3 linked regions of the Drosophila melanogaster genome follow. Each later gene encodes a partner of the first gene's protein in a complex. Each region holds a gene or a part of one and is shown on either strand. Other genes may lie near its edges.

Region 1 (8,007 bases):
TCAGTACGAATTTGGGATGCACCACGGATCCACCACAATCCCAATTGATGTCCGACTTGGACTTGTTGGGCCGATGAGTGCCGATTAGGGCCATGAAGGGAAACTCTTTACCGGATGCCTTTGTGCCGCCCACGATGAAGGGCGTGGACTGGCAGGCGGATCTGACCTCGTTGTATTGCTTGCACTCTAAAAAAAAAAAACGAATATTCAAATTCCATCAATCGAAGGGAATTGTTGCAGTCACTCCTCACGCTTCTCAAAAGGCCTCGTCTGTTCGGCTGGCTTCAGATTCTGGTGATCCAGCGGTATGGGACAGCAGACAATGTCGTTGAACTCGTCGCAGTACTTGACTTCGGCTCCGATCAGGTGCTGGTTGTAGAATATCACTGGACAGTCGGAGGGCGTCAGCTCCTTGCACTCGCCCGTTCCATTGTCGCAGTACTCGGTCACCACGCTGACTGAAGCAATCAGCAACAGAATCTGGATTCCCGGAAGCGCATACATCGCAGTGCTCTGCGATCACAACTGAGAACGGCGCTCGAGGTGGACAAGATCACCAACTACAGGTTATCTACGAAGAGCTTTAAGCTGGGCTTATTAAGTCAAGCTTTTGATTGTAAAGCTGGAGGGAGGACTTGGGCCGACAGCTGTGACTTACAAAAAGTTCCCTTAGTATCTAACTTAAACATATCTGAGAACTGTTTACACATTCAATGGAAAATGAATAATGCAATAAGCGATAAAATATAAGATAATACTACTATAAATTAGGCTTATGTCGTTATGTCAGCTTGAACTGACTTGGGAGTCCCACAAAGTCTAATTGTGGCGCATGTTTTGCATGTGCTGATGCTGCTGCATGTGCTGCATATACATTTGTTGCTGCTGGTTGATTTGCTGCTGCTGCTGTAGGTTGCCACCGCTGCCCAAGGGAACGCTGGTTGTTTGTACTGCGTTGATTTGTTGCTGCTGCATCTGTTGTTGCTGCTGTTGCTGCTGCTGCTGCTGCTGTTGCTGTTGTTGTTGCTGCTGTTGTTGCTGATGTGGTTGCTGCGGCTGCTGCTGATGCTGTGTTTGCATTGGAGACTGCGTTTGGCTGGTTATTGCATTATTGCTGGTATTGTCGTTGCTGAAATTGGAAAAGTTATGTTTAAACCGAAGTAGAGTTTGAATTAAATGGCCCTTACATCTTTTCAGTGTGAATATCCTCCAAGTTAAGGTGGGTTATGAACCTCAGGCGCATTTGCAGCAGGGGCCGTAGCCGCTTAATGATGGCTTCCGATTCGTTCTTAATGATATTACCCACATGTATATACTTAATGTGATAGCTGAAATGATACAAACACATTTGTTTAGTACCCTTTCATGCGATTTTGTGGATTTGCTTACAGGAAATCGCAGATCTGGTCCATGTACTGCAGAGGCTTCGGACCATGATGCTTGTCCACGATCTCAAGAATTTCGTAAAGCAACACGGCTATGCCAGCCACAGCGTTCGGTTTTTCCAACTCTATTCGTTGCAGGAAGGGGCCAAAAACGTGGCACAAATACAGCAATTGTTGTTCGGTTCGCACGCACGGCTTTAGCTTCTCCTTGAGGTACCTGGTCATTGCCGCCAGCTTAAAGGCGCCCATGTGATGGAACACTGAGTGAGCTACTGCCAACACCACGGCGTAGGTCTTTTCTAGCATCGCCTCACGCACTGTCTTGAAGTTAAACAACTCGAAAGCATTGAATCTGTAGGTCCAGTTCAGCATATTGGGTGTGTTGAGCATATCCTGTAGGCGATCGTATATGCCGCTCCAGTAGGGCTCAGGCAAGGCAGCCAGAACAATGCCCACAGCATTAATGTAGCTGTGAATGTCCTTTTGCGGAATAACCGCATATCCGCTTACTATAACATCGATGAGATTGCTGGCCACCAGTGGCGGTGCCACCGGCAGACCCAGCAGCTCCACGCATGTCACATAGAGCGCATGGGTTGGCGCATTCGGGAACTCGTTAAAACGCCAATCGGTGGAGTAAAATACATTCTTCCCACTAATTGCTGCAAAATAAAAGGGGTTACGCATGAATATATGAACACATCATAGTATTTTCCCAAATCCTAGCTTACTGTCTGCAAGTCTCCTGATCAAACTCATATAGTAGCTCAATTCGGGGGTCCACAGCGAGTCTTGGCTTTGCAAATACACCTTGTACGGCTCACTAACACTCCAGTTGGGCGGCCGAATCTCGCTAAAGGCGCTGGTGATAGCGCCAACCTGGAACAACACAGTGTATTAGAAGAAGGGAATATAATATTCATAACAAATCTTACAAGTTTCTTCTTTAGCGCAGGGCGGTCTCGTAAGATTCGCTCATAATAATGGAGGGTGTTGTACAGATATGTTATAGGTCGATCTGCAATTTAAAGGGTAATTTAAAGTTATGAAATTCTCGAAAGCCACTTTTAACATACCGTGAAACTTGTAGAGTATGCTCAGATGATCCAAAATGAAGCCCAATATCTGGTGGACATTTGTAATGGTAAGTTCGATAAATCTGTGCACTACCACATCCAGAACGGGAAGGAATCGCAGACAGACATTGCTGAAGTACACGGGCAGCGGAATCTGTGAAGCTGACTCGTCCAACGCGAACTTCTCTGGATACTTTTGATGGAATGACAAGTGTTTGTCCTGCCTGAGAAATAATAACAACTATGCCTTTGTGCTCTTAACAAAATCAAGTGTCCAACTTACCAGTTGCTCTGCTTCCAGTGATCAGGATTATTGTCCTTGCAGAACTCCTGAACACGATTTCTCAGCTCGCTGGCTTTCAGCAAGAGCAGCTGAATTATGAGAAAGCAGACTTGAGCCTCGTTACCCTCGTGCGTTCGCAGAGCCAGGCAAAGCACAACCCTATCGATGGTCACAACGTTGAACTTCCAAATCATGTTGTTAATGGTGTCGACGCACTTGTGAATAAAGTCGCGGCCATCCGATGAGCTAGCTACCTCAGCCACCAAGTAGTCACAAAATTTACGCAGATGAGTGGACAAGGCTCTCGCGCTTATACCCTCCAAAATTCTAAAAAAAAAGGTATGGTCAGAAAAAATGATTGTGTTTAAATCATAATGTTACGCACTTGTAAGCCACTGGGCTTATGTTCTCCGTCTCCCAAATTATTTTGAACAGAAGGCAAAGGAATAAAGGATTCGTAGTTGGACGCAAGAAGTGCGCAATTATGTCATTCTCGTTGGTCATCGACGTCCAGGTTCGATATTCCTCTTCCACGGCCTTCTTCAACTGCTGCTTGTTCTCCGGAGGTTGGTTGTTCTGCGTAAAGTACTCGTTTAAGGCGGGCGGAAAGCAGGCTAGGGAATGCATGGGCCACGAGTGCGGCGTGTGCTGAATGATGTTGGAAAGGAAGTCCTTGCACCATCCCTGCATTTCATCGCCGCCACCATGTACGTGCATGGATCGAGCTAGCGTAAGAATAAGTACTCTGTTTAGCTCTTCGCTCTCATTAGACGCCACTGCTCCGGGAGATTTGTCGTTAAAGTAACGCGAAAACTGCGGCTGAAACTCGGCGGATCCAATGCTGGTGATCAGACGCAGTGCAGTAGATTCAAAACTATACAAAGGGAAGAACTTAGAAAGAAGTCTATACTCGATAAACGTATAACTAACCAGAGATTGAGCTGCATCTTGTTTGTCTGCGGCACGGAGGACAGAGAATGAAGGAGAGACAGCAATTGGACCCGGTAGTGAGTAGGAACATGGTGCAGCCGGTACGAAAACATCTCCATTAAGGTGTGCAGCATGGCCCACGCATGGTTCTTAAACACTGTTGGCATCAGTTGGCCTTTAGGAGGAAAAAAAACCATAAACATATTGTTTAATCACTTCAACAGGCTGTACTTACTCAGGAATCCCTTTATACCGAGCGACTCGATTTCTGTATAAACCAGAAGTCTGGCATAAGTTTCCAGTAGTGCAGCCGCTGGAACTTGACCCTTGCTTTGGGCCTGTTTTAACATCTGAGTTACGAAGCTGTGGATTAACGACATCTTACTGTGCACCGTCAAGCTGTCCAGAACCGTGACCGAAAAAGTTACGGCTGGGATTTGGCCACCGTTTGGAGATTTTGAAGTGCCATTTAGGGCATCCAGCAGTAGACCCATGGGACGCCCGAAGTACTCCTGATTCGTTGAGTATGCATTGCAGATGAGAATTATGCGGAAGTCGTTTCCTAGCGTCATGTTCATCATGGTGTTAGCCGTGACTAGGTGCTGCAGAAAGCTGGGAATTAAGCAGTTAGTATCTAAACACCAAAGGAAGTTAGAGGTATTACTCGTAGTGGTTTTTCAGTGCAATTGGCAATGGTCTGGTGATGTTCATGTTTTCCACTCGTGCCTTCTTCATCAGGTGAATCCAAACGCAAATGGGTGCCATATGGCGAACCATCGAGGATTTATTGATATCTGGCAGCTTAAGAGGCTCTAGCTCGGGATATAGTAGGTCAAACAATCTGAACACAGGCAGGAAATTGGTGATCTAAAATTAAAAGCGATTAAAAATAAGATCAATCAGGTGGAGAACAGGATCTTACAGGATTTTTCTGTATGCTTCCGGATATAAACTGCAACAGAATCCACATAAGTTGATCGCGACCCTTGCGAAGCTCCAACTTGGAAAGCTATAGGTGAAAAGTAGTTAATTACAAGAAATATTAATTTCATCCACCATGGACCTACCTTTTCGTGGAGCGCCAACACTATGTGCATAAAGCTTACGAACTGAAAGAGCACAAAGTAAATTAGTTGCGAAGAGAGATGCAGCCACATCCACTCGTAGGGCGTGATCTGCTCGTCTGAGGAGTTAAAGCCACTTCCCGCAGTGGCATCATTCGCCTCCGTCATCTCCATGGCCTGCACTATGAGATTAACCAACTGCTCTTCCAGGGCATTGTAGCGCTGCTTCTGATGCTTTTGCAGGTTCAGCATTTGAGAGACCATTTCCCTTGAGTACGGCTGCTCCAAAACGTAGCGGAGTAGGGGCTTCTGCTCTTCGAGCAGCTCTGGCTCGTAGGGCAGGCTACCCTTAAAGTTAAACTTCAGGGTATTGTGGTCCAGTCGCCAGGAGTTCATCATGTGATCGGCATAGCCGAAATGCTCTACGATGGGAAGCATGCTGGCATGTCCAATGATCGAAACCATTTGTGCCGTGGTGCGGAACTCTTCGACAAAGTCGGTCATCAGCCGGTTGAGTTTCCAGTGGTAAGGAAACGGACGCATAATCTCGTTGGCAATAAAGTAGGCGGGCAGCAGGCAATTGTTGCGATCAAAGATGAATCGCAGGATATCCTCAACGGCCAGTAGCTGTGGCATGTAGGTAACGTTGACGTTCAGCGGAAACCATTGTGCCTTGTCGCGGCATACCTTCATGATCTCGCGCACACCCTTGTAGTCCACCTGGACGATCACACGCTTGATCAGCCGGAAGCTCTCGATCCAGAAGGTCCTGTGCTCGAAGTCCAGTTTCTCGCACATCAGCACCTTGTCGCACAGCATCCTGGCGGTGATCACGTGTGCGTCCACCAGCTTCACCAGTGCCGCCATCAGCACTTTGATGTGATATCCGGAGGCACCGGCGGCACGCAACAGGTAGAGCCGAAGCACCTGCTCCCGGTTCTCCTGCGCCACGTTCCCAAAGGCGGTAACTGAAACAGATAGTTTTTAACAATTTTCGAGTTCCAGCAGACGCATTTACCTACCCAAATCATTGGCGAAGCGGGTAGCTCGTTCTTGCTCGGTGTTTGGCTTGAATACAATGACGCTAACGAACGCCTCGTCAAGGGAGTCGACCTTCTGCGAAATGGAGAGCGTGGATGAGTGGGTGATTTTTTGGAGACGCAGGGTTTCACTATTACCAGAAACTCGTTAACGGTGTCTATAACTTGCGTTTCCATATCCATTTAAATTATTTTTCGCATATCCGACACCGCATAAACAAAAACTACCTGGGCACAGTGTGACCAAATGGGGCTTAGTAAAGAATCTAAAAGTGGCTTTTTCTGATAACAAGAAATAGCTAAAGGATTAGATTAAAAACGCCAGGCAGGCAGCACTGACTGATTAGCCGGCATTTAAAGCAGCTGGTCGCATTGAGTCGAAAATTACTTTAGAAACTAATTGACTTGATTTGTGGAATCGCACAAAAATCATGAAGAAAGTTCTGGTTACAGGCGGAACTGGGCTGGTGGGCAAGGCCCTGGAGGCTGTGATCAAGGAGCAGTCCCCAGAGGACGAGCAATGGTTTTTTGCGGGCTCTAAAGATGCAGATTTGACGTAAGTCATGAAGAAATTCAATTGAACGTATCCGTAAACAAATTCTCTCCACAGAAATCTGGCCGCCACGCAGGCACTCTTCGCCCGAGAGAAGCCCACGCATGTCATCCATCTGGCTGCAATGGTCGGAGGCCTGTTCCACAACATGAACAACAACCTGGACTTCTTGGTGAGCTCCTGGTCTCACAGATGATTCCAAAACCCATTTCATGCGAATCCACTTTTAGCGCAACAACCTGCTCATTAACGACAATGTCCTGCAAACGGCACACGAGCAGGGATGCGTGAAGGTGGTGTCCTGCCTGTCCACATGCATTTTTCCGGACAAAACCAGCTACCCCATAGATGAGACCATGGTGCACAATGGGCCGCCGCACCCCTCCAATTATGGTTACTCCTACGCAAAGCGACTGATAGACGTGCAGAACCACGCCTACCACGATAAATATGGCCGGGTGTACACCTCGGTCATTCCGTGCAACATATTCGGTCCCCACGACAACTATAATCCAGAGGTCAGCCACGTTATTCCGGGCATGATCTATAGGATGCACCAGCTGGTTACGGAGAAGACTGACGTCCCCGAAAACGACAAGGTGTTCACCGTTTTCGGAAGCGGCATGCCACTACGGCAGTTTGTATACTCCCGGGACCTGGCGGAGCTGATGATCTGGGTGCTCAGGAACTACGAAAGTGTGGAGCCCATCATCCTAAGCGCGGACGAAGTGCAGGAGGTGACGATCTTCGAGGTGGCCCAAGCCGTTGCAAAAGCATTTAATTTTAATGTGGGTTAAAAAGCGAAATTTGAGACAAGGCAAGATATTAACTTGATTTATTCCAGGGAAGACTGGTCTGTGATACGAGCAAGTCGGATGGACAGTACAAAAAGACTGCGTCTAATGCCAAGCTTCGCTCCTTCCTGCCAGACTACGCATTTACGGACTTGGAAACGGCAATCAACGCCTCGGTTAAGTGGTACATAGAAAACTACGACCAGGCTAGAAAGTAATTGAATATTCCAACCCCAAAAAAAAATGTAAATAGACAACGAATTTTCACAGAACTTTATGCGCGTTTAATGTCCAACAAAATAACAATACCTTAATCAGTCCAGGAGTCGCCGTATTGGTTCTTCCTTCCAGCGGGTTCACTTTGTGCCTGCTCCACGGGTCGCTGTTGAACGGCAACTGGTGGTTCGTAAGGTCGCGAGTATGGACTCTGCTGGTGCTTCGAATACTCTTCTCGGTTCCTTCGTCGCAGGTCCTCGTAAGACTGGCCCGGCTTAGACGGCTCCAAGGGCAACTCTGCCTCCAGCATTGAACCAGCTGCTGGGAAGGAGAATGTACAGAATCATAATAGGGAATGCGAAGAATTAGATGAGCTTACAGTCCAGGGTGGGGCGGTAGATGTCGTCAAGGCCGGACAAAGTAGGGCGCGATTCCGTGTCCAGATTGAGAGAAGTGCTCCTCCCGGGCTGATACGCCTCATCGCTGTACACGTCCGCCGAGCTCGGCGAGAAGGGGGCCAGAGTGAAGGCCCTGCCCAGATTCTCGTCCGGTGTGATGGAGCTGATGACACCGCCGCCCTGTCTACGCTGACGCAGCAGCTCGCCCAGATGGGAGTTGGGTAGGCGCATGATCTTCTCGGCACACTTCTGCTGGTAACTGAACTTG
Region 2 (3,110 bases), on another chromosome or scaffold:
TTAAAATTTAATCAGCTAAAGTTTCGGAAGAAACAGCTTAAGTTTGCAAAATCTGCGATACATGATTGGGGATTATTTGCAATGGAGCCCATAGCTGCAGACGAAATGGTTATTGAATATGTTGGTCAGATGATTCGACCTGTAGTTGCTGATCTAAGAGAAACAAAGTATGAAGCAATTGGGATTGGGAGTTCCTATTTGTTTCGAATTGACATGGAAACTATAATTGACGCAACTAAATGTGGAAACTTAGCTCGGTTTATAAATCACAGTTGCAATGTAAGTAAGCTGGATGTTCTGACATTATGTTACCAACATAAAATTTTGTTTTTCAGCCGAATTGCTACGCTAAGGTTATAACTATTGAATCTGAAAAGAAGATAGTAATATATTCAAAGCAACCCATTGGTATCAACGAGGAAATAACTTACGACTATAAATTTCCACTAGAAGACGAAAAAATACCTTGTCTATGCGGCGCCCAAGGATGTCGGGGTACACTTAACTAATACTTATTTACAACAATGAATTAAATATTTTAGAGCACATAAATTTAATTTGTTCATAAAATCCAAAGTGGGGTACGTGTAAGTATATATAGTTTTTTTTATAACTTAAAACTATAATTAATTATTATAAAAATTATATCAACGAGGTCAGAGGTGCTGTTCAAAATGGTTTAGGTCTAAATTAAGCTAAAATACTTTACTTATAAAAACAATATGTATATACTAAAACCCATTTGATCTGTAAACACGAACGAAAATGCAATAAATACATTATCTTAAATTTAAAAATAATTTGCCTTTATACAAAAATGTGTTAAGCAGCTATTGTAAATCATGTTTGAGTGTTATTTGCATATCTAATTGAGCCTGAGCAATGCATTCCAAAGAATACTGCATTTTTTCTAGCAAAAGTTCGCCTTTTTGCACTACTTCCTCTAGGTCTCTTGCAGTTCCCTGGTTTTCGATCTCGAGCCTCTTAAGGCTAGAATTTTGGAGTTCAATGGAGCTGTCTTCATTTGGAAGAGACTCGATTAAGGTGTCGATGTCTTTAGCACATCGTGCAATTAACTGTGCAAATAATTGGGCATAGTCTTCTTGCGGCGGACATGGGATTGGCGTTTGGGGTCCAATGCGTTCAAAATTAACAAATTTACTTGGAAGGGACGTTTGTTGAATTACACCAATAGCATTGCAGAAGTGCTCCGCTTGCTGCAATGATTATTTTACATAAAAAACTGGTTATTTCTTAATACGAAGTCACTTACCTGATTAACGGTGTCTTGCAATTGTGTAAGCCGATCCGCCATTTTACTACAGAGTTAATAATTCTGAAAAACAAAAAATTATATGGAATTAAGTTTGATTAGCCAGTTCAAATTTTGATTAACATTTTTAATATCAACATAACATAATCAACATAATATCAACATACAATGACCGTTGGTGATTTTTATAATATATAAGCATTTATTTATCGATTGATTTTATGTCTTATTTACAGATACCTCACAGCAGCGACTATTCTCTTAAAAAAAGAAATGCTATTAATATGAGTTCCACACTAAAACGTGATTTCTTTCAATGAGACGAATTATTCTTGTTCACACTGTGCCATAATAATGTCTTCATTCCAACGATATAAACTACCATAAGATTGTCGGAAACAGTGGAATCTCCATAATATATGACCACACGTTGCACATCGATCCCTCTTGTCTTGTTCAAAATCATCACAATTTCGGTTATAACAAGGAAGCAGTTGGTCTCCAAGTAGTCTGCAACCTCTCTCACACAATCTTGGTATATCCTTGAGGAGGGTATATCGATTTCAGTTATAAGCTTGCAACGAAGTGAAAAAAGCATTTCAGTCCAATTAAGTGGGTATAAATATCAGTAAGAACAGCCGTACCCTTTTTCACGATAATTATTCTTTTAATTTTTAACATATCTAAATCGGTTCACCATATCTTAAAGATGTCATATGAAAAATTTTAAAGCTACCTCTCTTGTTTTTTAAAGGTTTTTAAAAGCAACAAAGATTTTATGATACGAACACTTTGTGCCTCCGATTAGTTTTCTTGTGAGGGGATTTGAATGGGTGGTCAGTTTTACTAGGTATTTTAATTTTCTTCTCAGTTATTATTTCGATAAATAATTTGATTTTTTTCTCTCTGTGTATGTCTTCGTTCCGAAGGTATCACGCTCTAGTCAGAATTCTCAGAATTGTTGGCTGTTCTCGCTGAATGGATGCCCCACAGGTCGGAGCCATAAGTCCAGATTGGTTTTAAGACGGAGTTGTATAGGAGAGCTTTGAACTCCACGCTAAGTGGAGAGCGAGCATGAGCCAGTGAAGGTTCCTTGCATCTTATTGCGACTTCAGTAGCTTATGTATGTTTTGGAACAATAGCTTGGCTAGTTTAAGCAAAAGTCCATCCAGAAACACTGTCAAATGCCTGCGCGACGTCTAGTAAAATGGCTGTGTAATATTCTCGATGCTCAAAAGCAGTACGAATTTCTGACGTGATTCGATTGGCCTGTTCGATGGTTCCATGTTTTTTCCATGACGAGGGCTTATTCCCAGGAGTAGCATTTTTTCAAATAAATTTTAGAGATAAGTTAGTTACTGTATCGGTCTATATGATGATGGCTGCGTTTTATCTTTTCCTGGCATTGGAATCATTACTATGGTAGATTTTTTCCATTTTTGAGGGAAGTATCCATGCTTGGCGATTGCGTTGAACAACAAGCACATGTGCAGAACATCACACTGGGAGTTCAATAAGGATTTTTTGAGTTATTAGGTCGAAGCCAAAATCGCTTCAGTTGCTTTTTGATAACCTTTGCTAATTCACATAATCTAAGTTTGCTTCTGCTAAAGGAGGGAGAATAATGACTTTATAGCAGGATTTGGTAGAAATAAAATTTGTAAGTGGTCAGCAACTGCTCTGGCTCTTTTCTCATCACTGTCTTTTCTCTACAAAAGGTTCTTAGTGCTGGTGGGCATACGTCACTTTGCACCCGAAACTAGAATATTTTCAACAGTGTCCGTTGACTTGTCTATATTTTCCTTAGCAGATAATGCCGGCGTTAGTTCTATGTGTG
Region 3 (3,484 bases), on another chromosome or scaffold:
ACGTTGGATTTTGTAAAGGGCACAGTGAGTTAAAAAAATTTTAGGGAAAACATTATACTCCAGTTGTGAATGAATATCTCTATTGACTTTTTAATCATGTTTATCAAACAAAATTAGTAATTTTGATGAAACTCCATACAAATTCATTAAAACCACATATGTATATGTACATTATGAAACGCACTGTACGAGCATATTTCGGCTAGCCACGATGATGCCATGCGGTAGCACCCATTAAAAGTAGGAAAACGTGTGAGGTGTTCATGTCTCATGTCATGTCACATGTCTTTACAATTTTTACAATTAAATATATACATTTATATTGTTATTCCTATCCTGAATAAATTGTTCTAGATAGATTATTAATTTATGACATTTGACTATATTATTACTCCACGCTGACTACGTCATTTTAATGGTGAAATTTGTGGGATGCTTAATCATGAGCCTTTATCTCGGATCTTATCTGTGTAAAGCTTATCTCAAAGATGACTTAACACATTAATTCCCATTGAATGAATTACTCATTAGACGTGCAAGATTCTCATCCCACAATTGGGGTTTTATTTCTTATACTAAAAGGAGTTATAAATATGAGGAGCTCTTTTTTCCAAGCCATTCACAATGATTGACACTATTTCCAGCGTCGATGTCCAGTCTTTTGCCAACTCAGCTTACTCGATAGCGTCCACAAGCTTGCACAACATGCGATCGTGCTGGTAACTGGGATCATTCTTGGCCGCCGCATTCGCCTCCAACGGATCCACCTCCGTCTTAATCTTTGCTCCGCCGCTATCGTCGTCATCATCTAGAACCGGCAGAGCTGAGAAGGCGGTATTAACGATCTCGCGCACACGTTCCAAGTGCTTTTGGAAACGGGCGGCGGTCTCAACGCGCTGCCGCTTCTGCATTTCCATCATGACGCGCAGCGTTTCCCTCGCCTGATGTGGGCGAAATTCATTGAGGAGGTGATGCATGTTGACGAACAGCAGACTGATATCGTCAATCTAAGATATCAAATGAGTGTAATACAATAGATGCTACATTTTAATGGGTCAATTGACTCACCTTTTCCGTGCGCCGCGGGCTGTCAGGATTCAGGATAAGAAAGTCAATGAGATCTAGGAAGTTGACCAAGAGGGAGTGGTTAAGCTTCTTGAGCTCCTTGCGCCGATCGAAATGGATGGGGATCAGTCGCTTAATATTCTGGGACTCCAAGCTGCGGATCATCTCGTCGTTGTTGTACTGGATGCCAAACATGCTATAGACTTCGTGCTGCGCCGGCGGCGGCGGTGGGCGTGGCGCTCGGTTGCGGCGGATATTCTCGTCCGTGTAATTGGCGATGTACCGCTCCGGCGGCATCGGCAGGCTGGAAACCTGGGTCTCCTGGTTGGACATTATGAGATTAACAAGTGCGGAAATACAAAAATAATAAATGATTTTTGTTTTGAAGAAGTGATGGCACCTGAGACAGGCGAATCACTCACGATAGTGATGACACTATCACTCAAATTGTTTTCTTAAAAATGAGCACACTAGAGGTTTGAAGCTAGACAATGCAATAATAAGCAGAATTTATTATAATATGTTTTGAGACACTGACAAATAATTTACAATTACAAAAATTAAATTAGATATTAATCGAGCTCGAAATAATAAATGATTCACCGTGCCTAGCTATCGATAACTTAAAGGTGACCATGCTTGCATGCACCCCCTACAGCATTGCCATAGCAATTTTTCTCCGTCTCTTCCCTCATTCGTCGGTAGAGCACAACAAAATAAGAAACACATATATATCTTGATGTGAATAGCTAATTGTTCCAGCACCGATTCGCGCCAATATTCCTGTTCCTGCCAAAGAAATGAAAACAAAACGTAAAACCATAACATAACTGGACCCAACTAAGAGACAAGCCGTGCTGCCTCCACCATTTTGATTTCCCCACTCAGCGTGTGTGCGTGCTTGCAGTGCTTGTGCACGATGCCAGTAAAATGTGCAAAACCGGACATAAAACAAACTTTTCCTAGTGTCATCTAGTGAGCCATGGAGCGGATTTTGCCTGAAGAAGCGGAAGCGGGTAAGCATCCAGAACTTAGGTAACCAACGCAGGACAGCCCCAGGCGTGATCTTCGTTTCCCATTGATTAAGTCAGCGCTATTTCCAGTATACCGCGTGTGTTGGTGCTTCTATGCGAGTGTGTGTGTGTGTGTATGGGGAGGGCCGAAATAAACAATAAAGCGGATCTGCGATTGGGTGTGTGGTTTTTGCTTAAGTAAATCCAATCGGTTTCTATTTAATTCACAGCCTACTTGAGCGAAGCGCGGGAGCAGATATTGGAAATAGCCAAGAATCGGCCGGGAACCCAAGTGGCCAAGTGCATCCGCGCCTACGATGAGCAACAGGACCTGGCCTCGCTAGTCGTCCTCCTCGAAGAGCTCTCCAAAAACACGGACTACTCCACGGACCTACGGATATCACTGGGATATGTGAGTGTTGAAGACCACTATTATCAAGATAAGCAAAACCGCCGAAGAGCAGAAAGATCAAAATAAAAGTGTGACGCAACGTGCGTGGGTTTTACAGTCATGCCTCGATAACTGGTATTTTAACTAAAATTATATAAATGGGTTTTCAAGAAAATCTATTATTTTATTTACAGTGAACACAAAAGCCTGCAGATCCTCAAATACATTGCTTATATTTTCAGTATATTGAAGAGCTACTGCGCCACTGCTTAGGACGAAATGATGTCTCTCGAAGATCGGCCATCGTGGCCGCAGGAAGTGCCCTCCAGTACTGCGGCAAGATCTATGGAGACCGAGTGGAGTACCTGTGCCAGGTGGTGGAGCACCAGATCGAAGCCCTGCTCACATCGGAGTTGCAGAAGGAGACCCCTAGCGGAAGTGCTGCGTAAGTTTAACTCAGAACTGAAGAGTTAAGAAGATGGAGAAAGACAAGGCCACGTGCTCCCCACTTGTCGCCATTGCTGGCTCTTTTCGGTCCAGAATTCCGCTTATCGAGCTTCACTTTACGCCCCCTTCGGCTTTGTTTGCATTAATATCACAGAAGCCGGCTTGCCGTTAATGGACGATAGGGCACGTTCTCGTGCTTCCAAAAACAAATAACAAACAGAGTATATAAAGAAATGAGAAATTAACCAGACAAGTGAAGCTAAAAACGTAGACAGTTCATTCATAAAAATAACAAGTTATTCAGAGATAGATCACATCCTAAATAAATATTTTTACATTATAATTCACTTAAATTCTTTCTTATCAGCCGGCATTAAAGAATTTGGGGAGATTATTTGACCTAAATGTTGAAAGTCTAATTAATTTTAAAGATAGCACCAGTATTTTGATTAAACATAAGATGATTTCATTATAATATTTAAGTTACATAATAATCAGTCCTTTAAAAAAAAGAAATCTTATCCTCTTTTAATCTGCATTTAGCGATATAATAATTGTTTTCCTTTCA

What was found. The genes of interacting proteins can lie anywhere in the genome.
Region 2: MED23 (region 1) and MED21 share a complex: the UniProt entries of both Drosophila melanogaster proteins name them as parts of the mediator complex.
Region 3: MED23 (region 1) and MED7 share a complex: the UniProt entries of both Drosophila melanogaster proteins name them as parts of the mediator complex.

Annotation. Positions count from the first base shown.
Region 1 is NT_033778.4:22,886,962-22,894,968, reverse strand, and holds MED23 (mediator complex subunit 23), read right to left. Parts: upstream 6,042-8,007; 5' UTR 5,956-6,041; coding exon 5,917-5,955; intron 5,855-5,916; coding exon 5,761-5,854; intron 5,707-5,760; coding exon 4,742-5,706; intron 4,684-4,741; coding exon 4,597-4,683; intron 4,542-4,596; coding exon 4,339-4,541; intron 4,287-4,338; coding exon 3,910-4,286; intron 3,850-3,909; coding exon 3,675-3,849; intron 3,619-3,674; coding exon 3,130-3,618; intron 3,072-3,129; coding exon 2,745-3,071; intron 2,686-2,744; coding exon 2,462-2,685; intron 2,404-2,461; coding exon 2,321-2,403; intron 2,265-2,320; coding exon 2,117-2,264; intron 2,048-2,116; coding exon 1,390-2,047; intron 1,329-1,389; coding exon 1,188-1,328; intron 1,130-1,187; coding exon 820-1,129; 3' UTR 544-819; downstream 1-543. Other genes in the region: CG3700 (uncharacterized protein), read right to left, coding at 1-186, 252-504; Gmer (GDP-4-keto-6-deoxy-D-mannose 3,5-epimerase/4-reductase), read left to right, coding at 6,210-6,334, 6,389-6,503, 6,562-7,119, 7,176-7,343; asrij, read right to left, coding at 7,436-7,662, 7,721-8,007. UniProt on the Drosophila melanogaster protein: Component of the Mediator complex, a coactivator involved in the regulated transcription of nearly all RNA polymerase II-dependent genes.
Region 2 is NT_037436.4:25,114,389-25,117,498, forward strand, and holds MED21 (mediator complex subunit 21), read right to left. Parts: upstream 1,559-3,110; 5' UTR 1,441-1,558; exon of another isoform or gene 1,337-1,440; 5' UTR 1,316-1,336; coding exon 1,274-1,315; intron 1,218-1,273; coding exon 831-1,217; 3' UTR 536-830; downstream 1-535. Other genes in the region: Set1 (SET domain containing 1), read left to right, coding at 1-279, 336-509. UniProt on the Drosophila melanogaster protein: Component of the Mediator complex, a coactivator involved in the regulated transcription of nearly all RNA polymerase II-dependent genes.
Region 3 is NT_033777.3:10,759,536-10,763,019, forward strand, and holds MED7 (mediator complex subunit 7), read right to left. Parts: upstream 1,498-3,484; 5' UTR 1,399-1,497; coding exon 1,069-1,398; intron 1,008-1,068; coding exon 675-1,007; 3' UTR 536-674; downstream 1-535. Other genes in the region: Cap-H2 (chromosome associated protein H2), read left to right, coding at 2,048-2,081, 2,309-2,490, 2,712-2,914. UniProt on the Drosophila melanogaster protein: Component of the Mediator complex, a coactivator involved in the regulated transcription of nearly all RNA polymerase II-dependent genes.